3 linked regions of the Bombyx mori genome follow. The protein of the gene in region 3 interacts with the protein of the main gene of each other region in a pairwise test. Links are inferred from orthologs where the notes say so. Each region holds a gene or a part of one and is shown on either strand. Other genes may lie near its edges. The genes, in order: ferritin precursor, protein son of sevenless and DRK.

The links.
Region 1: the proteins of DRK (region 3) and ferritin precursor interact in a two-hybrid assay, tested with the Caenorhabditis elegans proteins (3 studies listed by BioGRID). The link is inferred for Bombyx mori from reciprocal best matches to the Caenorhabditis elegans genes sem-5 and ftn-2.
Region 2: the proteins of DRK (region 3) and protein son of sevenless interact in a two-hybrid assay, tested with the Caenorhabditis elegans proteins (3 studies listed by BioGRID). The link is inferred for Bombyx mori from reciprocal best matches to the Caenorhabditis elegans genes sem-5 and sos-1.

The regions. Positions count from the first base shown.
Region 1 is NC_085130.1:11,325,574-11,334,311, forward strand, and holds the start of ferritin precursor, read right to left. Parts: upstream 5,036-8,738; 5' UTR 4,822-5,035; coding exon 4,755-4,821; intron 1-4,754.
Region 2 is NC_085129.1:21,324,777-21,333,414, forward strand, and holds part of protein son of sevenless, read right to left. Parts: intron 8,582-8,638; coding exon 8,460-8,581; intron 7,325-8,459; coding exon 7,205-7,324; intron 7,066-7,204; coding exon 6,978-7,065; intron 6,017-6,977; coding exon 5,933-6,016; intron 5,590-5,932; coding exon 5,484-5,589; intron 5,408-5,483; coding exon 5,357-5,407; intron 5,197-5,356; coding exon 5,082-5,196; intron 4,997-5,081; coding exon 4,912-4,996; intron 3,529-4,911; coding exon 3,456-3,528; intron 1-3,455. UniProt on the Caenorhabditis elegans protein: Promotes the exchange of Ras-bound GDP by GTP. May regulate signaling pathways downstream of receptor tyrosine kinase, egl-15 and let-23.
Region 3 is NC_085123.1:5,827,762-5,836,499, forward strand, and holds the start of DRK (DRK protein), read right to left. Parts: upstream 5,725-8,738; coding exon 5,647-5,724; intron 5,569-5,646; coding exon 5,471-5,568; intron 4,088-5,470; coding exon 3,968-4,087; intron 1-3,967. Other genes in the region: RpSA (small ribosomal subunit protein uS2), read left to right, coding at 7,946-8,044, 8,231-8,464.

The sequences.
Region 1 (8,738 bases), on a different chromosome or scaffold from region 3:
CACGCTGTGAGATTGTATCGTTGTGTTTCTAGAAAGAGCCATATTTGTTTTATTGACGTGTATCAAACCAAGATGCGACGAAGCCAGCAGCCGATAGAGGACTCATTGAAATTGAATTTGTGTTTATTTTTTTATTCGGGAAATTAATAGTACTATATTCATCCTAGTATAATATTACTTAACACTTTGACTCGCATATTTTGCAGAAAATGCGAAAGAATTATTGAAAAGTATTTTATAAAAACATTTTAAGTTAAAAATAGAAAAATGAATGCTAAATTCCCGGCAAAATCTATACTTTAATACGTGAAGCAAAAACTTTTACTGGTGGTAGGACCTCTTGTGAGTCCGCGCTGGTAGGTACCACCACCCCGCCTATTTCTGCCGTGAAGCAGTAATGCGTTTCGGTTTGAAGGGTGGGGCAGCCGTTGTAACTATACTTGAGACCTTAGAACTTATATCTCAAGGTGAGTGGCGCATTTATGCTGTAGATGTCTATGGGCTCCAGTAACCACTTAACACCAGGTGGGCTGTGAGCTTGCCCACCCATCTAAGCAATAAAAAATAAAAAAACATTACACACACTACCATGCATTTGACACACACACGCTTAAATACTCTTTTGTTTATTGTTAAAGTCTGTGGTCAAATTGAGAATCGATTAATACCGAGAATCGATTAATATCTATTGTTTTTTTTTAATACTATTTGTCTATAGTGTAGCCTTGGCGAAATCTGTAATTACAGAAGTAAAATCTTGACAATAAAACCATAATAATTATAATTTAAACTTAAAATGACTATAAACCATAATAGTGTTCAAACTTATAATTGAAACAAAAAATTATAGCCGAATTTTGACTACTGGGCGACCACTAGTAACTTTTAAATTGTTATTTATACTTAAATGTTATTATTGACTTATTAACAATTGTAAATAGACATGCTTTAAGAGAAACAGACTTTAAATAGAATTTTTTTTATTCCAAAACAAATTAATATACACTAAAAACAATAATCATCGAAATCGGTTGGCGTGATATTGAGTTATTGAGTTATTCATCTATTTGTCGCGCACGTATTTAATGCAAATTTAAGACTTATATGGTTTTCTTATACAATTCAATACATGCAATAATTATAATTTTTGTTTACGCTCTATCTATATCATTCATTTAAATGATAGTAAAATGAATGTTTTGGTAAACATGTTATTTCCACGCTACTTTATAATATTTTACCATATATATATTTTTTTCAATACGTTAATTATACCGTTTCTTTTGATAAGATTTAGCCGGTAAGTAGGTATTGTGGGAATTAAATGCAAACAGCATCAGATAATGGCACTTATTTATACAACTGCAAAGTTTTAATTCGCGTAACGCGCGTATTAATTACAAGTTATTTTTAGCTAGTCCGCGTAATTATTCTTTTGCAGTACGCATTTTCTTTTTGTTCCAAGTCAGATCACTCAAATCATTTCTTAGGATACATTTTTTTAGGATTCTTTGTAACGTGTACCGTCTGCCCAAATAAAGTATATGGAATTAAGAAAAAAAAAACGGATTTCTTTTTTGTCTGTGTTTTGTTCGAAACACGAATCTACCGACTTTTTTTTCTCCATTACACATATGAAAGGGAACGTAGTCCATACGGCCAAATCTTTTGTTATAAATAGCAAACATATATGTGGTACAAACTGGTACAAACATTAAAATGGAATTTTAAGTATTTTATTTCGAATTCCCAAAACTCATGGACGTCCATAGATGTTAAACGAGTAATAAGCCCCCATTAACAAATTCATTACACTAAGCATTGCCGCCAAAAAGTCTACCAGTATTTTCTGGATTTGTCTGCTCCTAGCATCCTATCGGCAGTCTTCCCAACCCGTGATGATGGCGCTGGCAACAGCCAAAATATCAAGAAAGCATTTACGAAAATCGTATAAAAATTCCTTCGATAATAGCGTTTACAATTCATTTCGTGGCTCAACAAAAGAAAAATGGCGGCTACTAGCGTCTTTTGTATCTGTTTTTTCTGTATCCGCATATTGGGTATTATCGTCCGACCTTAAAATAGGCCCTTGTATGGCAGGTAGAGAAACTATCAAAGAATACCGATGGTATCTTTTTTATCTTGTATACTTATAGGGTTTACTTAGAATTCATGCTTAAGATGTTTTCGACACTCTGCAGTTTACGTGATCGCGATTTCGATCCGGTGGTAGATTCAGCGAAGTACTGCTCTTGCTAGGATTAGTGTTAGCAAATTTTCTCAGATTGAGCCCGTGAGCTCACCTACCCGTCCTTGCGTAGCTGAAATAGCCTCTTAGGCCACCAGCGAATAGGTAGGGAAAAAAGAAAGAAAAAAAGAAGGCGCCGGAATATCTAGTAGACTCTGGGAAAGATGAATCCGAAAATACTGACACCGAATCCATTTCTAAAAGACTAAAACGTGCATTGACAAACAAATAAAGGCAATGCTAGGCAATCCTTAGTAACAGAAATCGACGTAATTACTTCAGTGCGCCGCGTAGGGCACCGGTGACCTACAGGGCAGTCACGGGATTAAGATGTTGTTGACACTGCAGTTTACAATTTCACGGCCGATACTGGTTTTATTGATCAAAACCCTCAAAGAATATCTCTGGGCAACTGAATCCTAAGACTGATTCGCGGTAGAATATGGCACCTGCCCATGAGGACTCACTTTTTTCCTACCTAAGCTGATATTCTTGAGAGGCTCTTGTCCGCGTAAGCCTAACATGTAGGTGAGCTCTCGGGGCCCAAACCAGGCGTTGCTAACACTGGCTCTAGCGAGAGCCGTGCTTCGCAGAATCTACCACCGGATCAGAAACGCGACCCACTGAGAAGATCCGGCGAGAAACTCAGTGGGCGTAGTCTCAGCCTAGGGCCTGTTCGAAGTAGCGTAGGGCCTGTTCGAAGCGGTTCACAGTACTAAAGCGCATTCAAAGAGAGCTCCTTACGTTTATGTCAGCCTAGTACTTCTTAAGACATTTAAACACGTCGCCTCGTTCTATTTAGACGAGCAGATAGCTCATCTGATCATAAGCGTGCGATCTTCGGGTCGGAGACGCGTGCGGTTTTGATAGTAAGCGGTCGGACCTCAAAGTAAACGTCACCTTGAGACATGAGGTCAGTTTACAAGATCTGTCGCGACGCTTTGTTTTTTATGTTTTTGTGATTTTGTTGGGTGGACGAACTCACAGCCCAACTGATGTTAAGGGGTTACCGGAGCCCATAGACATCTACAACGTAAATGCCGCCACCTACTTTGAAATATGAATTCTAAGGTCTCAGTTTCAAAGGTCAAAAGTTTAGGTCTTTTATTTATCGATTGAGGCACTACGAAGTTTGCCGGGTCAGCTAGTGTTCGATAAAAAAATGTATTTAACTTTTTTTATTGCCTTTGTAGACACACGAGCATACGGCCCACCTGGTGAGTGGTTACCATCGCCCATGGACTTCAGCAATGCCATGAGCAGAGCCAAGCCGCTGCCTACCTAACTTTAAGCAAACTATCGATTTATTATATAAACGAAAGTAAATTGGTAAGCAAGTCATATAATTACTTCATATTATTATTATATGTAGTAAATAAATTTTTTAATTATTATTCTTTTTTTTTTGTACCCGCAACGAACTCGCCGTATCTTTTCAAAATTCCTCTAAATAAAAACGCTTGTCTGGAAGAGATCGCTCGATAAGACCGCCTAATATAAAATTATGTATATCTGTCTGTGGAATGTTTTCCAATGTTAAAACGATAGGTGAAAGGCAATTTCGTGTAAGCGACATTTCATACATATCATTAGAAAAAAATAGCTTAATTGAAATTCAATTAAAAACATCGAACTGTTGATGTTAATATTGGTATTAACATCAACAGTTCGATGTTTTTAATTGAATTTTCGTGCGTTTTATTTGGAATAAAACGCACCTTTAATTACAATAATAAATTGCGCGTATTTAAGTGAAATGTCGCTTAAACCAAATAGATTTACATCCCTCGATATGTTTTGGTGTGAAAAAAAAAAGTGTATTCTTTTTCTATCTCTCTCTCTCACTCTCTTAGAGTGAACAGGCAGAATTGATATTTGATACATGCACCGCTTCCGACTTCATAGTCGAACTTAATGTAGAAACTTCAACATTGGCTAAATGGCGACTTGGAAAAACAAATGACGGTACGCGTTGAACAAAATTCAATTAAATAAGCAATTCACGAATAACACAACTGTCTGGTAATTAATATGCTAGGTGTTTTTTTTTCCAAAAACGAAATCTCTTAAACGATTCAAGAGATAGCAAGCACCATTTCTTCCGACATTTATGAGTTCCTATTCCTATTCCTGTCCCATGTTAGATTTTGTAACAACATAAAAACAACATCTGATTTTGAATTGAAGGCCTTGATTGAATTACTTCCTGATCATCATTAAATAAATAAAATGGCACATACTGCCTTTCGTTTCTGAGCACGGCGCGTATATGAATTTCGTTTCTATAATTATATATTTCATTTTTTAAGCATGCTACTAATTATTAATTTTAAAAGCATTAATTAAAATTCGGACACTACAGAAGAAAAACGCTTATATCGATTTTTGGAAGCGCCTAGAACTTTATTGTACCTCGTATAACCTACCCGACAAAGGAGTCAATCGGAAAATCATATAAATTAGAAAAAAACAGAAGGAATAGGTAAGAATATGTTTCGGTACTCACACTGTGTAGCTGTGGCAGGAGCTAGGGCAGCAACGAGTCCGAGGACAGCAAAGAAAACAGCCCTCATCTTAATTTCTCTTATAATCACAGATTCTTTGACGATACTCAAAAAAATATGCGCTCGTGAAAGCAGTAGTTGTATAAGTCAAGCCTTTACACACACTGGCGCAGAAGGCGACTTATAATTCGCAGGAAATTCAAATAAATAAGTCCTATTCGCGTATGTCACTTTGAATTGAACTAAATAATGAACTGCGCAGCGATAAGGCGGCCATCCCGTGTTGACAGCGAGTGATGTGAGCGAGCGAGATGGAAATAACCTACATTGCACAACAAAGAAAAGAGTCATGACTACGAGGTTTCGTGTTCCAAGGTTGACAATGGAATATTTTTATGATTTTGAAGTGAATAAAACATAAAAATCAAGTTTACGATTATTTTTCATGCGTAATTATTTATTCTTATGCTTAAAAAGGAAATAAAACGAACATTAAAGTTAGCTATTTGTAAAAAAATCGATATTAAAGAAATTTCTCGGAACACAAAACCTCAACATTCGAGGTTACGTCACAAAAAACATTTCGGACGAGGGGGAAGGAAAACGAGAATAGCGAGATGGAGAGATTCCCACTTATTGATTTTAATACCAGCATTAAAAGTGTTCCTTTTTTTTGAGCAGATTTGTAAAATTCAGTAAGGCATTAACAGTTAAATTGCTGGCCTTTTAAAATTATATTTTAGGAAATTTAACCAACAATATCATAAAAATATTACTGCGTCAAGGACACAGAGGTATTGTTTTTGAATTTACATTTTTTACTGTAGAAAGGGATAGCGATAAACTAGGTTGGTTATCATGGCACATGGGAGATTTAATTTTAAATTTGACATCCCTGTATACTGCGACTAGCTTCACGAGGAATGACTAATTTATTTTGTGTTCGATTTTGCGACTAACCCGCTGTCAATCGTAACGCTGATAAAATATTAAAATAAATTACAATCTGTTGTCTTTGTGCGGACGTTTTCATCTAGACGAGTCATTGTTGGAAGTCGCCTTCTGCGCCAGTGTGTGTAAAGGCAGTACTTTCGACATACGTCAAACGCACTTGTTATTTTTTCGAGAATTCGCCACTAAATAAATCGGTGAGAATTTTTTAATTTTTTTGTTCGCTTATTTTTGTTTCGTATTTGTTTATTTCCTAGATGCTAATCAATAAAAAAAGTTTAAAATATTCGAGAAACTACGCATGCAGCCTAATTTTTATAACAGCAACTGAACGAACCGATTTTTTTTTGTGATATGATTTTGTTTTTAACGTTTTGTGTTGGGCGTTTAATTTTACTAGGTTTGATGCCTATTTCAAGCAAAAAATAAATCTTTTCGATCGTGTGCGTAAATCGTAAATCAATATTAATGATTCGTAAACGTATATATATTTTTTTAAACTTATATTAGCTAGAGCGTAGTCGATAAGATTCTAGCAATTATTTTAATTTGTAGGTGTTCTTTCATATTCAAATGTCGAACATTTTGATTTCAATGTTTTATTCGGTATTTTGTGAAAATCAAGTGATGGTGTTTTTTTTTAATACTATTAAACTTGTTAAACGTATCTAATGTTTATGAGTACCTACCTATGTCTTTATTCGCCATTTAGACGTTCCATAGATTTAAAATTCAACTTTAGAATTTCCAGGATTTTTTTTTTTAGTTATCGCAAATATATGGCGCCGGGTAGTTTGACAAATAGTTACTAACACTTTGTGATTTGTATAGTTGATTAAAGCGAATCGTGAACTGAATGGGTACCTATTAAATACATATTATTATAATACTAAATATGTCTTCTAATTAAATACAATAACTACAACAGTGTAGATAATGCATTAAAACGCAAATATAAAGATTATTAGAAAGAAGCGTTTTTTTGCCATTGAGTCACTTGATGGTAAGTGGTCACCACCGCTCATGACCCTTAAGTAGAACTTTGTTTCAATCTGTGAGGGACCTCTCTACGCAGTATGTATGTAATCTCATTTAATTGTCTTTTTAGATGTAAATTCGTAGATGAGCTCACGACGTACCTAGTGTTAAGGGGTCATTTGAGACGTGAGGTCGAAACCTCAACCGTATTGTATAACACTGCTGTCACTCAAAAATACATTATATGATTGGGGTTGCAACAAAGGCTTATTACAGTAGTATCTATGTGGTAGGGCTGGTAGGCATTGGTGATGTCCAAAACGACTGTAGCCACTCACCACCAGGCGGGCGGAACACTCTTTTGCCTACTGGGGCACACGACAAACACACGTCGTACAAACGACTGTTTCCACAAATAAAAATCACTTCTGCATATCAAAACACAATTACTCTGATGACAAGATAAATAGTTCAATACGGGCCAACCAATATGAGTTGATAAATTTTTGGTATCTTTAATTGCGAGATTACAACAGATAACAAATTACACCAATAATACTTTGTAATACTGTGATTTAATCCGAGTCTACTGTGATTAATGAGCTATTAAAGATAATAATTGTAAAAGATAAAGATAAAAACACACTGTAGTATGTTTTGTGGTATTTGCTTGTTTGTCTGCCATTTCCCTAACTTGATTTTTAATTATCGGATTTCTATAAAATCTACTACATATTGACATTTAGAATTTGTGATTATGTTTTTACTATCTAAGATGTAGTTCTTTGTTTTACACTATCTAACACCCTTTAATTGTTGAGCCCAAAATAAACAGAATCATTATAAATATCTATGGTACTCTGTACTTCAACATTTTGTGTGTAATAGATCACTTGTTGGAATAAATTATACAAATTTATAATAAAAAAAGGAAACCGTTTTTATGCCAAGAAAAAGAGAATGCAATCAGTTTAGTAGAAGTCAATTATATGTACATGTGTTATTATGGATAACTCAAAAATTACTGATCGAATCTTGATAAAAAAAAAAAAATTTTTTATTGCTTAGTTGGGTGGACGAGCTCACAGCCCACCTGGTGTTAAGTGGTTACTGGAGCTCATAGACATCCACAATGTAAATGCGCCACCCACCTTGAGATATAAGTTCTAAGGTCTCGGTATAGTTACAACGGCTGCCCCACCCTTCAAACCGAAACGCATTACTGCTTCACGGCAGAAATAGGCAGGGCGGTGGTACCCACCCGCGCGGACTCACAAGAGATCCTACCACCAGTAATTATGCAAATTATAATTTTGCGGGTTTGATTTTTATTACACAATGTTATTCCTTCACCGTGGAAGTCAATCGTGAACATTTGTTGAGTACGTATTTCATTAGAAAAATTGGTACCCGCCTGAGATTCGAACATCGGTGCATCGCTCAACACGAGTGCACCGGACGTCTTATCTGTTAGGCCACGACGACTTCTAATTTTATTGGATTGGGAATCCCTTAAAATAAAATCTTTTCCTTGTTTGTGCAATGACAAAAATCGTTAAAACAACCATTATACAGGATGTCCCAGAAAGAATGGATAATCCTGAAACACCTCATAGCCGAACTATTATGACATCAAATAAAATAAAAAACTCAGGTAGTATTCAAATTGCGCCTTTTATTTTAAAGTTGCTATTTTCTATACTGCTGTGCGTTTCTGGTATATACGACAGCTACAAATAAATGAAATTCATGGACTTTTTGGTGTTTTAATATTCTACATGGACTATATGCAGGAAATCCTATGAGTAGCTAGTGTAATTTTATATAAAAGTTAATCTGAACTTAAATTTTAATCATAAAATTTGGTATTTTTTCTTTATTTTTAATTTGGGTACTATATACCTAAGAAATATTTTTTTAATTTTTTATTTTGAGACTCCAGTAGCTCTACTATGAGGTGTTTCAGGATTATCCATTCTTTCTGGATATAAATCCAATATTTATTAAACCTTCAGGGTTGCTACAGTAATATCAGAAAGACAAATATTTAGCTATAT
Region 2 (8,638 bases), on a different chromosome or scaffold from region 3:
CGATGACATTCCGCCCGCATATAAAATCAGTCCGTGACCGTGCCGCGTTTATTCTCGGTAGACTCTACCCCATGATTTGTAAGCGGAGTAAAATGTCCCTTCGGAACAAGGTGACACTTTACAAAACTTGCATAAGGCCCGTCATGACTTACGCGAGTGTGGTGTTCGCTCACGCGGCCCGCACGCACATAGACACCCTTCAATCTCTACAATCCCGCTTTTGCAGGTTAGCCGTCGGAGCTCCGTGGTTCGTGAGGAACGTTGACCTACACGACGACCTGGGCCTCGAATCTATACAGAAATACATGAAGTCAGCGTCGGAACGGTACTTCGATAAGGCTATGCGTCATGATAATCGCCTTATCGTAGCCGCCGCTGACTACTCCCCGAATCCTGATCATGCAGGAGCCAGTCACCGTCGACGCCCTAGACACGTCCTTACGGATCCATCAGATCCAATAACCTTCGCACTAGACGCCTTCAGCTCTAGGAGCAGGCTTAGGGACCTCGGTAACCGTACTCGTCGAACTCGACAAAGAGTTCGCCGTGCAACCTAACCCATGAATCAGCTCGCTGAGTTTCTCGCCGGATCTTCTCAGCGGGTCGCGATTCCGATCCGGTAGTAGATTCATTCGCGAAGCAGCTGCTCTTGAATTGTTAGGTCTCCTTCGGAGGCGCTCGGGTAGCTGTTAGCAAATCCCACCCCTCCTGGCTGAGCCTTTGCTCGCCCACCTGTCCTGGTGAAACTGGAAAGGCCTCCGGGCCACCAGTAATCCTTCAATCATAAAAAAAAAAAAAAAAAAAAAAACTGGTCGTTTATGGACGGGAGAGTGAGAAGCAACTCAATATACTATATATTACCCCAGAGAAAAGCAACAAGTTTCATTTTGAATTACAAATGAAGCGCGGGTGAAACCGTGAGACACATCTAGTCGTTTAATCGTTACGAGATCTTTGGTGCAAGAGTGAATGTGGTGAGAGATGGCGGCGAGTGCTGGAGCCACTGGTACACTCAACATCTTCGATGCAAATTAAGAACAATCATTGAAAATTAGAACATAATCGGTACTCTACACTGGTGGTGTGGTGCTGTGACCTCACTCGAGCAGATGCAACCGTCCTGCCTGTTTCCGTCGCCTACCTTCGACCTTACGTCTCAAGGTGCGGGCGGCGAACACGTAGTGATGTCTGTGGGCCGCAAGCTCCTTCCGTACCAACCAATCAGTAAAGCGTTCGCAATAAAATAATGAGTAGGCACGTTACCTCTCCGCGTCGCTGTGGGTCTGCGAAAGGTCGAGAGTAACTCTGCCGACACATCCCATTCGTTCGCAACTGTATTGTGTTACTTTGATAAAAACCTTATCGAATTGTATACTAATAAACGCACGCCGATTTGCTCGCTTATTATTTGGCGTGAACAATGCCCCGCCGCTAACACGAGGCTGCTTCACTGTGCAAATAGGCAGGACGGTTGTGCACATCCGCGTGGATTCAATACAACCTACCACCAGTAAACGGTGCAGGATCCTTGATACATATACACGGGGCACTTCAGTGAAGAGGCCTCGAGCACGTCACTAGGATATGACAATAATATGACAGAGGCTTTTTAAGGAATTCTCGCGGTAACTACATTTCGGGTAAATCATCTAGTCGCCTACGAAGGCCTATTGGAAGGAACTAGGTAAGTAATTGCTGACACGGTCACGATATCTCGTCAATCAGAGTCTGGTTTGTCATGCCATTATCGCTACTTATCGTGACAATTACGAAAATAGATTCGACGTTTTCACAGACCAGCCGAGTGTCGGGTTACGTTGTAACTGCGCCACGAGATTATCGGAGGGCTTTGAAAAGCCACCAGGCCTGGGAGAGCTCTGACGACGTTGAGAGCTGATACACGGGAGCGTGCCATGGTCGTGATGAACGAACACACGTCCACCATGTCATTTCAGATCATCCCGATCCACTAACGGTGCTCTTAAGTACCTCAAGGACTGATCATCTTTCTCGTCAAGCCCGTCGCTAGGGCTCGTAGGCTAAATCAGTGGGACACAGCCCACTGAGTTTCTCGCCGGATCTTCTTACCGGGTCGTGTTTCCGATCCGGTGGTAGATTCTGCGAAGCACTTGCTAGGGCCAGTTTTAGCAACGTCGTTAGATTTGAGGCCCGTGAGCTCACCTCAAGGCTACCAGCATAGGAAAAAATAAAATAAAAAAAACGCGTCCAGTTTGTCTTTTGGACTAGTTTGGTGAGGTCCATGGAGACGGTTAGTGAGGCTCGGATAGCTTAGCGCCACAGGCGGGGGTGTCAACTGAACCGGGCGGCTGCGGACACAGTGAGCCGAGGAATGAGTCTACGTTCAGCTGACGTCTCTACATGTATTTATTTTTGTTATTAGGCCTTTTTTTTCTCACAAATCTTATAAATTTATTCCCCTAAGGATAACAATATATGTATTCTACGAACCGACCTTTTTTTTTTATTGCTTAGATGGGTGACAATGTCGAAAGACTTCTCATCACCAGCAAAGTGGAAGGAAAGAGGCCTAGGGGGCGTAGTCCCATGCGCTGGTCCGATCAGATTAAGACGACTTTGGAATCCAACATCAATGTCGCTATCCACTGCGCGGAGGACAGAAGTGAATGGAGGAACATAGTCCTGTAGGGGAATGATACCCCGCCCCGCTTAGCTTACTATGCAGTTATTGTGCATATAGTAATGAGTAGCATACTTTAGTCAGTCAGTGGTTAACGTGCAGCGATCCACCGCGGTCGCTGACGCGAATAAACATACAATTATACTCAGTATTTTATTGATCACTCTGATGAGGTTTCCGGAGGAGAGCGCACAGTAAACCCTCAACATCACGAAACCTCACAGCCCTAACAAAAGTGCTCAGTAAAGGTCACGACCCTCAGAACTGAGGAATACGACGCACGGAGGGAGGAGATGGGTGGACGAGCTCACAGCCCACCTGGTTTTATGTGGTTACTGGAGCCCATTGACATCTACGACGTAAATGCGCCACCCACCTTGAGATATTCAAACCGAAACGCATTACTGCTTCACGGTAAAAATGGGCCGGCGGAGGTACCTACCCGCGCGGACTCACAACAGGTCCTACTACCAGTATGGACGCTGCATTGTCCTCGAGGCTAGATCGACTTAACGCAATAAGACCTGGTTTTATTGAAAAAGATGGTGGCTCATTAATCTAACGCTTGGGAACCACGTTTTCGTCTTTATTTAAGTATTGGCTTTCAACGCCATTGTTGCCAGTGTAGAGTTTATAAAAATCATTAACTATAAAATACATAAATGAGATGCAGTTCATTTATTGGAGTCTTTAATCGATTGGGATGAAATTGAGTGGAACGGGATGAGATGAAATGAAAACTCGCCCTTTGCCTCAAGTCGAACAGGGGTCCTGTGGAGGAGTCGCGCGCACTCACCTGAGGAGCTCGCAGTGCTGGGGGCTGGGCTGCGGCCGGTCCGGGGGCTCCGGCGGCTGCTCGCCCGGCGCCGCTGCACCGACAGTTGGGTTAGTGTCAACACGGGGGCGGGGGCGGGGGCGGGGGCGGGCATGGCTCATAATCAAATTGTATAATTAATAGCTCAGATTTTTCATATATATAAATTTTTAGAAGTTCGCTAATGACGTATATAGAGCGTTTCGAATAAGAATTTGCACGTCAGTGACCTTGATCTGTTGAAGTTCGATAAAAAAGTAAGGACAGCAAAAAAAAAAAAATCTATTTTTAGTGAATATTTTGTCTAATTATGAAAGCTATTAATATGTTTGTTTTAATGAAACATACACACCTCTATAATTTTCTTGATATCTTGAGTGCTGGTCGAGGTTAATTAAACATTAATTTAGATTATATAAAAAAAGGGTGCGTGTACTTATGTACGCGCGTAAGAAGTTATACTTTATTTTTATTAAATTTATTTCTTTTTTTTTAATATTAAATAATTAATAATAAATATTTAACGTTAATAATTTAATAATATTTAGTATGAATTATATTAAATAATAACTTTGTCATTTATATTACTAAATAATACATACGGATAGTTAACCTCAATTGTATTGGAGCACTTAGGAAGGTTGACGAGCACAGTTTTCTAATATTAATTACACACAAAATTACAAATATTTTCTAATATTAATTAGTATTGATTTAAATATTCAATTTAAATCACTTCTGATTATAATTCAGACGCACATATAAAATTCGCACTTGTATAATGAAAACAAAATGAAAACACGTGTTTTAAATGTAGAAACTCAGAGCAAGTGGATAAATATTATAAACATAAATACGCAGTGAACAGAGGCGGCGTGCGTGCCAACATGCGCCACTAACAGAGGTTCCATTTCTGTTTTGTTGGTAGCATTTTTTACGAGTGTACATGCGCGTAAGTTCACCTGCGGCTATATTCAGACTCGCCAAGTTACGTCGGTCGTATTGTAATGAGCGATTTAGTAGGCAACTTCATTCTGTTAATTTTGTGTCACGGTGCGCGCGTGTCGTAAAATTGCACTCTCATCAAATTTTTCATAACGCGCCTAAAGAAGTATAACTTCAAAAAAACACCACCTATTTAAAAATCAAGTCTATAACACTATCGGGCCATATAATCTATGGATGGGCGACGATGATGATGATTACTCAAGCAATGGGATGAGTGGAATCGGTGAACTCTAAGATTTGGATTATAAATTGATATTTAAAAATTTCTAACTTTTTTACTGACTTTACCTATTCTTTTCGATTTGACGGCTATGAAGTCACAATATGGCGCAGGTCCATGTGTATTCTTATTTGAAACGCATTATACACAACACCACGAATACTCATGAACGCTCACGACCGACTATCGGATAAAAACAGCGCAACTTACCATGGTGGGTGTCTATCCGGCGCGGCGGGGCTGGGGGTGGCTCGCTGTGTCGCGGCAGAAGGGGGGGCACGCTCTCCTCTTTACTCTGCGGGACACACGGTGCGGTTAGCGCGGGGCGGGGGCGGGGCGGGGCGTTGGGGGCGGGGGTTTGGGGGCGGGGCGACGCTCACCTCGTGCTTCCTGGCGCCGAGCTCGAGGCTGTGTCGGCTCGTGTAGAAGGAGTCGGCGTCGACGATGGGGTTCCGCGGCGATAAGTTCTGTGGTTTTCTCTCGACGGGCGCCGGCCTGCGGACAACGCGGGGACGGTTGCTAGTGTGTGCGTGTTGTCATTTTATGCGAGTCAATGTCTTCATTTTAATTCAAAATTAATTGATGCTCATGAACATTCATGAATGCTCACAGCTAAAAATACTCTAGTGAAACGCACAATGCGAGGTCCACTCACCGGTCGTGCCTGGGGGAGTGCTTGTCCCTGGGGGAGGGCGGCTCGCTGTTCCTGTGCAAACAATTCAGTTTCATTAGTCATGAGTAATCACTCGTGAGCCGCGGGGCAGGGGCGGGGGGGTTCTCACCTGTGGCTCCTGCCCTTGTCGAACAGACTGAGCTTCTTGTCGAAGAGGCTGAGCTGGCTGAGCGAGCGCGCGTCGGCCTTGGGGCTGCCGGCCTCCGCCCTGCCGCCTGCGACACGCGCCGCAAGGTTAGACTCAACGAAACGCAGAAACAATTATAATTAATAGTTCACTAAAACAAAGAAGTGTGCGACCCTCTCCCGGTCACATCTATCTATTCAGTCGACCGCGCCACTAGGGGGCTGCGGGGGCGACGCTTTAAAAACTATCTGTGAGCTCCAACCTAAGTCAGTGCTCATGAAGGCTCAACACTTAATATTATTTTGATATGAACGAGTGTTAACATTATAGTCTATTGTCCTTAATGAAATGTGCGTGGCACACTTACAAGTAATCACGAGTGCTCATAGGACAAGGCTAGTGTAAGACGTACAACGTGTGCGAGCACTAACCTCTGTGGTCGTCGTGGTGCATGGGCAGCGACGCCACCGACGCGCCGTCCCACGAGCTGCCCGTGGGGGACAGCTGCGACACGCCTGTAGGGGGGGATGGTCACGGTCAGTTTTATTGCTAGTACTCACGATCGCTCACGCAAGCCGCGGAGATAAGTAACACAATTGTTGTGTAAGTGATACAATTGTTGGACTCGGGGGTGCCGGCTGACATGTCAAAGTGACACTGACAGTCATGTCCAATCGACTTTTTGGCGGGAACGCGAGGAGTGAAGTTGTGTGATTTGTTTTATTTTATCTATTAGGTATTTCTTAAGGTTTAAATGTGTAATAACGGTGTTTAATATCTGTGAAAGTGCACAAATGTTGAAAAATGAAACAAAGCCGCTGGACGTAGATTTTCGGGATCCCCCAAAAAGTCCACAAAAAAAAATTCAGTAAATGACCACCATTTTACTGAGATTATATTTCATCCCATATCATCTCATTTCATTTAATTCCATCCCGGACATTAATGTCTCAAATTAATCATCTTAATTTCATTTCATTTCACTCTGTATTATCATTTTTCATAAAAATAAGAATATAAATTAAAATAAGACATTACTTAAAGGTCTTAGTTACCAGGTAATAAAATCCATAAAAAAAAATATTATGTCCAATTGTTTTCACTGGTGATGGAGGATCTTGTGGGCCCCCACCGGTGGTTTCACCCTATTCCTACCACGAAGCAATAATGCAATCTGGTTTGAAGGGTGGGGTACCCGTTGGACTGTTAGTTGAGGTTTACAAGTCTGGCGACGATATGACCACTCGGGTGGCAGCAGTACCGTTGAGATCGTCAGCGCAAAAGTGGTATAAGCTTACCACAGTTAGTATGAAGATAACGCGGTTCGAATTTACTTTTACACTGCTTCGCAGGTAAAAGCGATACGCGCCAAATAATGTGAACAGCGCCATCTGTTGTCTACGGGCGGAACCAGGGATAGAATAGGTTTCATCAATATGAAGAATTGTGGGTCAGGTCACTTGTACGCGGACTCACTGAGGTTGTCGTCGCAGGTGGAGTGGTCGTGCTGGTTCCTCCGGCTGGCCTTCACCTGCTTCAGCGACAGGTCCGGGTACTTCCTGGGCTGCAATCAGACCGAGTTACACGCCTCGCCTCGCGCTAACCAAACTCAATACTAATTACTGAACTGAGAGCATTGATCAGGTAGTAGTGACGTCACGGCGTGCGGGGGTGCTGCGCGGGGCGAGGGGGGCGGCACTTACATACTTCGGCATCTGTTTGACCGGCGGCCGGGGCTCTATTTCCAGACTTTTGTTGTACAGATAATTTGTGATCTCGATGTCGTCTTTCCCGGGAAACGGGTCCAGCGACTCCAGGAATGCCTGTGAAAAGAAAACCAGACTAGAATTTGTAATTTACTTATTACTTACTTCCTAATTTATGTAAGATACAATACACAAGTAACTAAGTAAATCTGGCCATGATTTTTTTATTAAAGTTAAATTCTGAAGAAAAAAAATCAATCTTTTATTCGTCTTCAAAGAAGTCTAGTTATTTCGAAAAAAAAATTGTTATTTCTTTAAAATTGTGTTTTTGAAGTGAAACTTCTAATGCGACTTCCTGTTGGAAGTCGCATTAGAAGGCTGCGTTAAACGTTCAACGCTCCTGGGGAGGGGGGGAATAGAAAGAGACGGAGCGAGAGTGAGTGCGCGCCTCGTGTATGCACCTGGTGCAGGCCAGCGCGCGCGTTAGCAACCAGTAGCGCCCAATATCTTAATGAACTATTTAAAAAAGTACATATATTTATTTTTCTGTCTATAAATTAAAATATATGTAATGTTAATGTTGAAGATGTCGCATCTCTTATACACCGCATTCCCTATTACAAGAGCAATCTGATTTAAGGATGAAAAATGAACAAAACCACAATAGTACACATCGCAAAAGAAGTTTCATTTATTCACGCGCACCGTTTTTTTATATTCTATGCTCCTCGATTATACATATTATATCAATTTTTTTTTTATTGCTTGATGGGTGGACAAGCTCACAGCCCACTTGATGTTAAGTGGTTACTGGTGCCCATAGACATCTACAACGTAAAATGTGCCACCCACCTTGAGATACAAGTTCTAAGATCTCAAGTATAGTTACAACGGCTGCCCCACCCTTCAAACCGAAACGCATTACTGCTTCACGGCAGAAATAGGCAAGATGATGGTACCTACCCGTGCGGACTCACAAGAGGTCCTACCACCAGTAATTACGAAAATTATAATTTTGTGGGTTTGATTTTTATTACACGATGTTATTCCTTCACCGTGGAAGTCAATCGTGAACATATGTTGAGTACGTATTTCATTAGAAAAATTGGTACCCGCCTGCGGGATTCGAACACTGTTGCATCACTCAACACGAATACATCGGACGTTTTATCCGTTAGACCACGACGACTTCAAATTTAATTCAATTTATTTAATTCAACAAATTATACTAGCGATCCGGGCCGGCACCCACCCTGGTCCTGGGCTCCACGGTGAGGCAGTAGGGCTGGTTCTGGTACTGCTGGATCTCGCCCGTGATCTCCGCCACTTTTCTTCGCTTCGAGAAATTTATTAATTCGGAATTTGGAAGGTAGTCTGAAACAATCACATTTGTTATTAACGTTTTGCTCCCTCCTCACCCCGCGCGATGCC
Region 3 (8,738 bases):
ACTCACAAGAGGTCCTACCACCAGTAATTATTCAGGGGAATTGTTGCTTTCTGCCGCTTAACAGGTGTGTTTTTTTTTTATTGCTCTTGTAGGCAGACGAGCATACGGCCCACCTGATGGTGAGTGGTTACCGTCTCCCATGGACTTCAGCAATGCCAGGGGCAGAGCCAAGCCGCTGCCTACCGCTGACCTACCTACCGTGTGTGCTTTTGCTTTGTTCGAAAAGTGGGACTTACATGCTTCATGTCTCAACTTGACAGAATTAGCTTTATGATGTCATGTGGACTCCGATAATCACTTAACCCTGAGTGGACCCGCCTGCGTATCAAGAGCAAATACACTGACATATTGATTGATTGTTACATAGTTAACACAAATTACATATTGTGTAAAAATATGACTAAGATATTAACAGCGTGGACATGAATCAATTTCGTATTTCTTAGAAATATTTATTGCAATATTGCATGAGAAAAGTTCGACAAAAGAAATTACAAGTTCTTTTTCAGTAAGGATTAAACTTCTTCTTATCAGCCCATGGACGTCCACTGATGGACATAGGCCTCCCCAAGCCTCGCCACAAAGACCGGTCCTGCGCTGATGTATAAACTGATGTACAATAATAGACTAAATACATGGATTGATTCAGTTCTCTAAACTAAATTTCCAGACGAAATCTAAACAATTTCGAGGCAGCTTCAGCACGTGTTGATGCAATAACGTATCGTGGGTGTGAAATTGTAAACGGTATGTACCGCCACCGATACAGGTGTGCAAAATTATTCTTAATACTACTTGTTTGGAAATATTTATGTATCCATTTGATCAGAAGATACACTGATCATTATTAGAAACAACTTTTTTGGCAGCCAATTGGCAAAAAAAACGTGGCTTTTATTATTTCGTCATGTCTGTCTGCATTTAATAGCAATTTTGTTCGGCAACTACTACACATTTTACGTGGACTAAGTATAGTAAGGCCAAATACAAAAACATAAAATGAACATTGAATAAAGTTTATAAAACATGTAAGTTTCAAACAAAATGATAGTAGATAGTGCCTGAAAATTTGACATTTATCTCCAAAATTTACTCAAAAATGACATCTTGTGAATAGATATTAATATACGTTAATTAATAGTGATCATATATTTAAAGGAACTAGAGGTCCCACAGTAGTCGAAATTCGACTATAATTAACTGGAATTGTAAGTTTGTACACATACTATAATCATAAACTTCGCCAAGGCTACACTATAAAAAAATATTAATAAAGACAAACAATATTTAATCTATTCTCAATTTGAATTTTGAAGTCGTTGTGGCCTAAAGGATAAGACGTCCGGTGCATTCGTATGTAGCGATGCACCGGTGTTCGAATCCCGCAGGCGGGTACCAATTTTTCTAATGAAATACGTACTCAACAAATGTTCACGATTGACTTCCACGGTGAAGGAATAACATCGTGTAATAAAAATCAAACCCGCAAAATTATAATTTGCGTAATCACTGGTGGTAGGACCTCTTGGGAGTCCGCACGGGTAGGTACCACCACCCCGCCTATTTCCGCCGTGAAGCAGCAATGCGTTTCGGTTCGAGGGGTGGGGTAGCCGTTGTAACTATACTGAGATCTTAGAACTTATATCTCGAGGTGGGTGGCGCATTTACGTTGTAGATGTCTATGGGCTCCAGTAACCACTTAACACCAGGTGGCCTGTGAGCTCGTCCATCCATCAAAAAGCAATAAAAAAAAATAAAAAAATTTGACCAAAGACGTCAAGAACAAAAGTTTGACAATATAGTATGCATGCGTGTGTGCGTCAAATACATGGTATGTGGTGTGTGTAATGTTTTCTTTATTGATTTAATGTATCTTTTATGCATTAGTTTTAAAAAATATTAGCATTGTGCACTTCTTCTCTATATTCTCTATAAGTGTGGATAATTTCAGTCTCCTCCGTCAGCGCAATTTTCGTAAAAAGGGATACAAAATTTTTGCTTCACGTATTAATATATAGATAATGTGATGTAAAGGCAAACTGCCTGAAAAATTGCAATGTTTTCATTGCTGTAGTAGATAAGTAGGAATTCGTAACTTAGCGTAGATTTTTTACTTTCGAAATTAGTTTCCATTAATATAAAAGCCGAGTTTAGAAATTTGCGACTTGTAAACGATTACATGCTATTGTATTTACTTTATACTTTATAGGTAGATCGTCACTCATGGATGTCAGCAATGCCAGGAGCATTTTATCAGTCGTCGTGGCCTAAAAGATAAGACGTCCGGTGCATTCGTGTTGACCGATGCACCGGTGTTCGAATCTCAGGCGGGTACCAAGTTTTCTAATGAAATACGTACTCAACAAATGTTCACGATTGACTTCCACGGTGAAGGAATAACATCGTGTAATAAAAATCAAACCCGCAAAATTATAATTTGCGTAATTACTGGTGGTACAACCCCTTGTGAGCCCGCGCGGGTAGATACCACCACCCCACCAATTTCTGCCGTGAAGCAGCGAGGCGTTTCGGTTTGAAGGGTGGGGCAGCCGTTGTAACTGTACTTGAGACCTTAGAAACTCTTGTCTCGAGGTGAGTGGGGGGGCATTTACGTTGTAGATGTCTATGGGCTCTGGTAACCACTTAACTCTAGGAGGGCTGTGAGTTCGTCCATGCAAATAAACAATAAATATCCATCTCCATAGCACACACAGTACAAACACAGAAAGAGCCGTCTATCCAAATGGATCTGTGACATAATTTTAAAACAATTATTTATTACAACAACAATTTATTTTAGCTGAACAGATGGGTGAACAGATTCACGGCCCATCTGGTGTTAAGTGATTACAGAAGCCTACAGAAACTCAACAGAACTAGTTCACATGATGAATATGAGGTAAATTTTACAGCTTTACAAGTAAAATGAGTAGTATTGTATTTGTCATAGTTTGTTTTTTTTCTTTATTGTTGACTGTAGAAGGAAATAAAGTTTAGTCATTCTAGAAAATTTGATAAGGATGGAATGTATTTATTTGTACGTATTTCAGATGGTGTATTTTTCTTATTATTGAGATAAGAAAAATTCTGAATTTATCAAGTTCTCTATCTATCTTATGACCAACCTTCCATGAATAGATAAAATGTTTTAATATTCACTCAGTTTTAGAATTCGCACACATGGTTAAAACTACATTTACAAAGTATTTATTTACACATTACATTTTCTGACGTCCTAAATACATTTATCTTATAATGGTTTTTCAATGTTAAATTGCATAAGACTATAGATGGTTCTTTTTACTCTTCATTTACTTTATTTATACTGCAGTGACCCGTGGATGCAAATGCTGGTCATTCACCTGAACTTAAAATGTAAATGTTATTGTGATTCCAATATATATTTTTAGATAGCATTGCTATAATGTATTTTTCTGTTAAGACAAAGACAATTTTCCCTTAGTTATAAGCTGTAATATACTATATACATACAATATTAGTTTTATAAGTATTACATAAGGGAGCTTTTTATTTTATTACTAATAGACTCTATTGATAAAACATTTAGAGAAACACTAAGTTATTTACATGCAAACATACAGAAAACATTCCATCCAGATAAAATTGTTTATTTAAATAATAATAATGAACGGTCTTCTGTTGGAATGATAACTACTGATATCTACTTAAATGATAACACCTAATGATCTCTCAACACTTAGTCTGCGACATCTGTTCATGACTTAACCTAGCCTAATCTATCCTAAGAAGCAGGGAGCCTGGAGATCAGTAATACAGGTCTTTGAACCTAGTACAGACTGCAGTTCTTTCAAAGGCTAACAAAATAAATTGTAAGGTTAATCTCTATTTGTATTTGTACTATAACTTTAAAAGAGAAATAATAAATAATGATTATTATTACTGTGAAAAATAATAAACATTACATGTAAAAATACAAAGGACTTACTTGACTGATAAGGAGAAGTCGCCAGGGCTTGATTCGCTGATCCTTATCAAGAAGCCACCTTCAGGTTTGTTTGCTAAGAGTTTTTCTGCATCTGCTCTTGTAATACGCCCATAATACCAACTGAAAAAGAGAGGTTATGTAGGCACACCTTTAAAATACAAATACTTACTATTTTCAAATTAATAATTACTTAAAAATTATGGTTTTTTTTTAATATGTCCCAAGACAGTTTTTAATCCTTAAAACTGGTGGATAGTGAGAATTTACACCGTAATATCTATAAGCTCCTGTAACTACTTGACACAAGGTGGTTTGTGACCTCATTCTGACATCCAATTCATTAAGTCGATGCACTGGATGTGCTTAGATTTCTCTTCCAGTCTAGCTGATACAATATACACCACACAATACACCAGTAAGGTATAAACAAAAAATAAGTAAATGTTCTACAAATATTTAGAATTTTTATTACTATTATTACTAATAGTAGTTTTTGGTGGTCAGGTATGCTGTAAGCATACACTGTATGTGTGTCTCTGTATACCATATTTGTCTTGCAGCAATTGTGCCTTTAGGTTTGAACCTTAGGACAGTTATTATCACAATGCAATTGATACTGCATCTCACATCTCAAATTAGGTGGTCATGGTAGTATGTTCTGCATTCATATTATAGTACTACTCAACACTATGAATTAAAGGAGCATTTGTATCACTTCAGGCATAGCCTTCACATTAATTTTATTGCTTGGCAAAGCATTAGCACTTACAAAATCAACAGGTTTATTTCTGATGTATAATCAGATTCTAGTTGAAGAGACCATTCTCTTTAATATATGTTTAATAACTACCTTCTATCTATTCAAATCTTTTCTCATTGAGAATCATGAAATAAAGTTTAGTACTCAAATAAAAAAAGCACTTTTCGTAATTCTTAATTGTGTAATAAAAAATACACCAAATTTATAATTTACTTTGAAATCAAATATTGTTTTCTCCTTTCAAAATACACTTCATATGTTTAAAGACACTTTGGCTTTTATTATTACAATTGGTAATGTAAACAAACATTTGTTGATTAGTTTAGTGGCAGCTGGTAAGTTACATGAAATTTCTGTTGTGTATCTATAAATAACATTCATTTTGTATGTTCTTCTTCTAAAGAATAATGAAATGACTTTGTAGATTAGGTTTGGCAACACTCTCCGGATACCATAGTAGTTAAATGTAAATAAAAATGAGTAGACCAGCCCAAGTTTAATTATAAACAAACAATGTTTACATTATCAGTTTTCTTCAGCAAATGTTTGGAATGAAATGAAAACATTCTTTTTCTAAATTTTATCTGAGATCTCTACATAGCTACACAAGAGCAATATCTTCTTGCTTTCACAAATAAAACCTAAGTCAAAAATAAACTGGTTATTTTAATTAAGAATATTTTAAAATCGTTATAAGTATCAGTTATAATTTTAAGACTAGAAATATTAGATATCCCACTTACCTGTGATTTTTCATTTGTATGTAATTACTAGGAATGAGCCCTTCTTTCCCGTCTAATTCAGCTCTGTACCAGTTCATATCGTCCTCCATGTTTAGAATCTGCAATAGGAACCATTCTAGAAAGAACTATCGCTAGGTATTAAACAAAACAAAAAGTTAAATAAATATTTAACTTACTTTTAATACTTGATTTTTTCTAAAACTGAGCTCATCATCTGCGGTTGCAGTAAAATCGTGTTTTGCTAGAGCCTCCATGATCAAATTAGGCACTTCACTGAAATGTCACCGAATTCTTAAAAATAACTCTTAAAGTACACAAACTTTCCAAAATGTCTAATGTCAAGGAAGTAAAATAATCATAATGCACGTATTGTCTCACAATGTTGAATAAAAAAGATGCGTTTTAGTTACAAATTTAGAAAAACCCAATCGGAATCCGTCTGTACTCAACACATCACTCACTTTACAAATTGACAAAAAAATCAAAATGTTGCCACTTTGCAGCTGTGTTTTTAGCTCGAAAATTTACTTGCATTCATGTGTGTTTTTGATACTGGCAAGGAACATAACATCAACTTTACCTGTAAAGACTAAAAACAAATTCATTCTACATTTGAATTGGATCTCACTTATAAGAATCGTCTACTATAAGGATTCGTAAAACATGTAGATGAATTTAAAAACCTAATTCATTATGAAAATATTGAAATTGACTAAAAGATTTAGATTCAGACGCCCCAACTAAGTTTAAGAGACGAATTGCCATCAAAACTTAGGTCTAAATTTAAACTTTTCAGCAGAATGTAGACTAGAAGGACGACTATGGACGAAGGACGACTTGCCATTAAAGACCACAAAATGATATTGCCTGAATGGTAACTTGGCTAATTTTTTTTCACTTTCAGCATATACATATTTCTCATTAAGGAAGACCGAGAGTGAGAAAATAGACAGAGCGTCTCATGAACCACTCGACCGTGGAGAGAGGGAAAGGACAAAGTGAGCTAGATAGTTTATCTTATATATAGCATTCCTTATTAATGGGGAAATTTGATTTAAAGATGAAAAATGAAGAAAACCACAATACTACACACCACAAAAGAAGTTTCCCTTTTTTCACGTGCACCAAGTTGTACACGCACCATATTTTTTTTAAATATTGTGGTTGTGATGAAATATTCTTTAACTTCATCGATATTATCTTACAAATAATCACTATTTTACATTTCGTTACTGTTGTGTTTATTTTTGCTATTTATTTGCTTGAACGCGTGAGCGAGATCAAAGCCCGCCTAGTTTGATGTGGTTACCGAAGCTCATAGACATCAAAACATGAATGCCAAATTATGACATGAGGTTCAAACTAGCAATTGGATTCTAGTAATAACTGCCTTTGCCTTTCTAGCCGGCATCAAGTTTAATATGATACAAAAGTTCCGATACGTGAAATAATTACCACTTAAATGGAGGACTATAATCAGTAAATTGTAACATATTTTTGCCAAACAGAAACAGTTTATTGCTATCCAAAAAAATAAGGGCAATAGCATGTACTTAATTTTATTTACAACTGCAAAATTAATTTTGAAAAATTCATAATAAAAAATCTGCTTACAAAAATACAATTTTGCTAATTCTCCTTTCTTAATTTGAAAGCAAATAAATACATAAAACCAAAAAAATGTATAATAAAATTAGAAAAGTTTGATTAAAAATATAATAACGTTATATTACGCAGCTGACATTCTTTAAAATAAATTGATTTTAAAAGATAACTATGTACATAATTTGGGAAACAAAAAATCGCAAGCTAAGTCATTTCTACTTATTTTCCGTTAAAGTAAAAATAAAACTAAGTTAAAATAGTAAACTATTATTTTATTTATTGAAGTATAATTTCAAAAATTCGTTTATCTGGGATACATAACACGTCAAACGTACACGTTGTATTTTATCTTTTAACCTCCTCAACCTCTCTTCTTTTTTGTGTATTATTACTATCAAACTTTATGGACATTACAATAAGAATTCAGACGACAAATTAATTAATTTCAATTAAACGATAACCTTTGAAAATCCATGATATTATTATTCATAATCTGAAGGAAAGCTAATTTAGACAAAATTCTTTAGTTTTTGCTGAAGAGGTATGGCTTCGATTTTTGTGTATAGTATAAGCTTTATTTTCTTTGCTTGTTTGAATTCTAGTCCAAGGACAACTTTGACAACTAGTTTTCATTGACATATTTGACACTTCTTTAAGTCCATTTCGCCTCCCAGTGGCATTATACGCGTAAGTAATAAATCGAAAAATTGTTTTTACATCGTTTAATAGAACTTTTAATGTGTTGTGTGATCAAAATGTATGTTTAATAAACAAGAGTAAATTATCAGTATTTGATCACTGAATACGAACATTGTCAATTAATCGTGTGGTGATTTTTCAGGTTTAGTCGTAACTCAAATAAGCGCAACGATGTCGGGAGGATTAGACGTGCTCGCCCTCAACGAGGAAGATGTCACCAAAATGCTTGCTGCAACCACCCATCTTGGGGCAGAAAATGTTAACTTCCAGGTAAATACATACAAAAATATTCAAATCTGTTATAAACATAACCTAACAAAACCATGATGATAAGAGAATCCGTTCCATTTTATTCTGATTATTGTATGACGATTAATTCTCCCAACTGAGCTTCAATTACTTAATAATAAGCTCTGCTTTAAATGAGTGGTATTTGAAGAAAATGTTGCAAAACAGATGGAGACCTATGTCTACAAACGACGTGCTGATGGTACCCATGTGATCAACTTGCGTCGTACCTGGGAAAAACTTGTTCTGGCTGCTCGTGCTGTCGTAGCCATCGAGAACCCCGCTGATGTGTTCGTCATCTCATCACGGCCCTTCGGTCAGCGTGCTGTACTGAAGTTTGCCGCGCACACCGGTGCTACGCCTATTGCGGGACGTTTCACACCAGGTGCTTTTACTAACCAGGTAATAAACCATTAAACTATTTGTTACTATGTAATGACATTTAATTATTTATTGAGTGTACTTCATCTACAACCCAAGTATGTTAGGTTTTCATGAGTCAAATGGGAATATTAAGTAAATTATAATATTGATACATTTATTTTTATAATTATTTCTTAAAAAATAATGTGACACATTGAAAGTAACTAGAAATTAATAAATAGAAAAACATATGTATTAAGGTCTTTGTAGTTTTGTAAGGTTGTTACTTGGCAGATGCTGCCTTTAGAGTGAA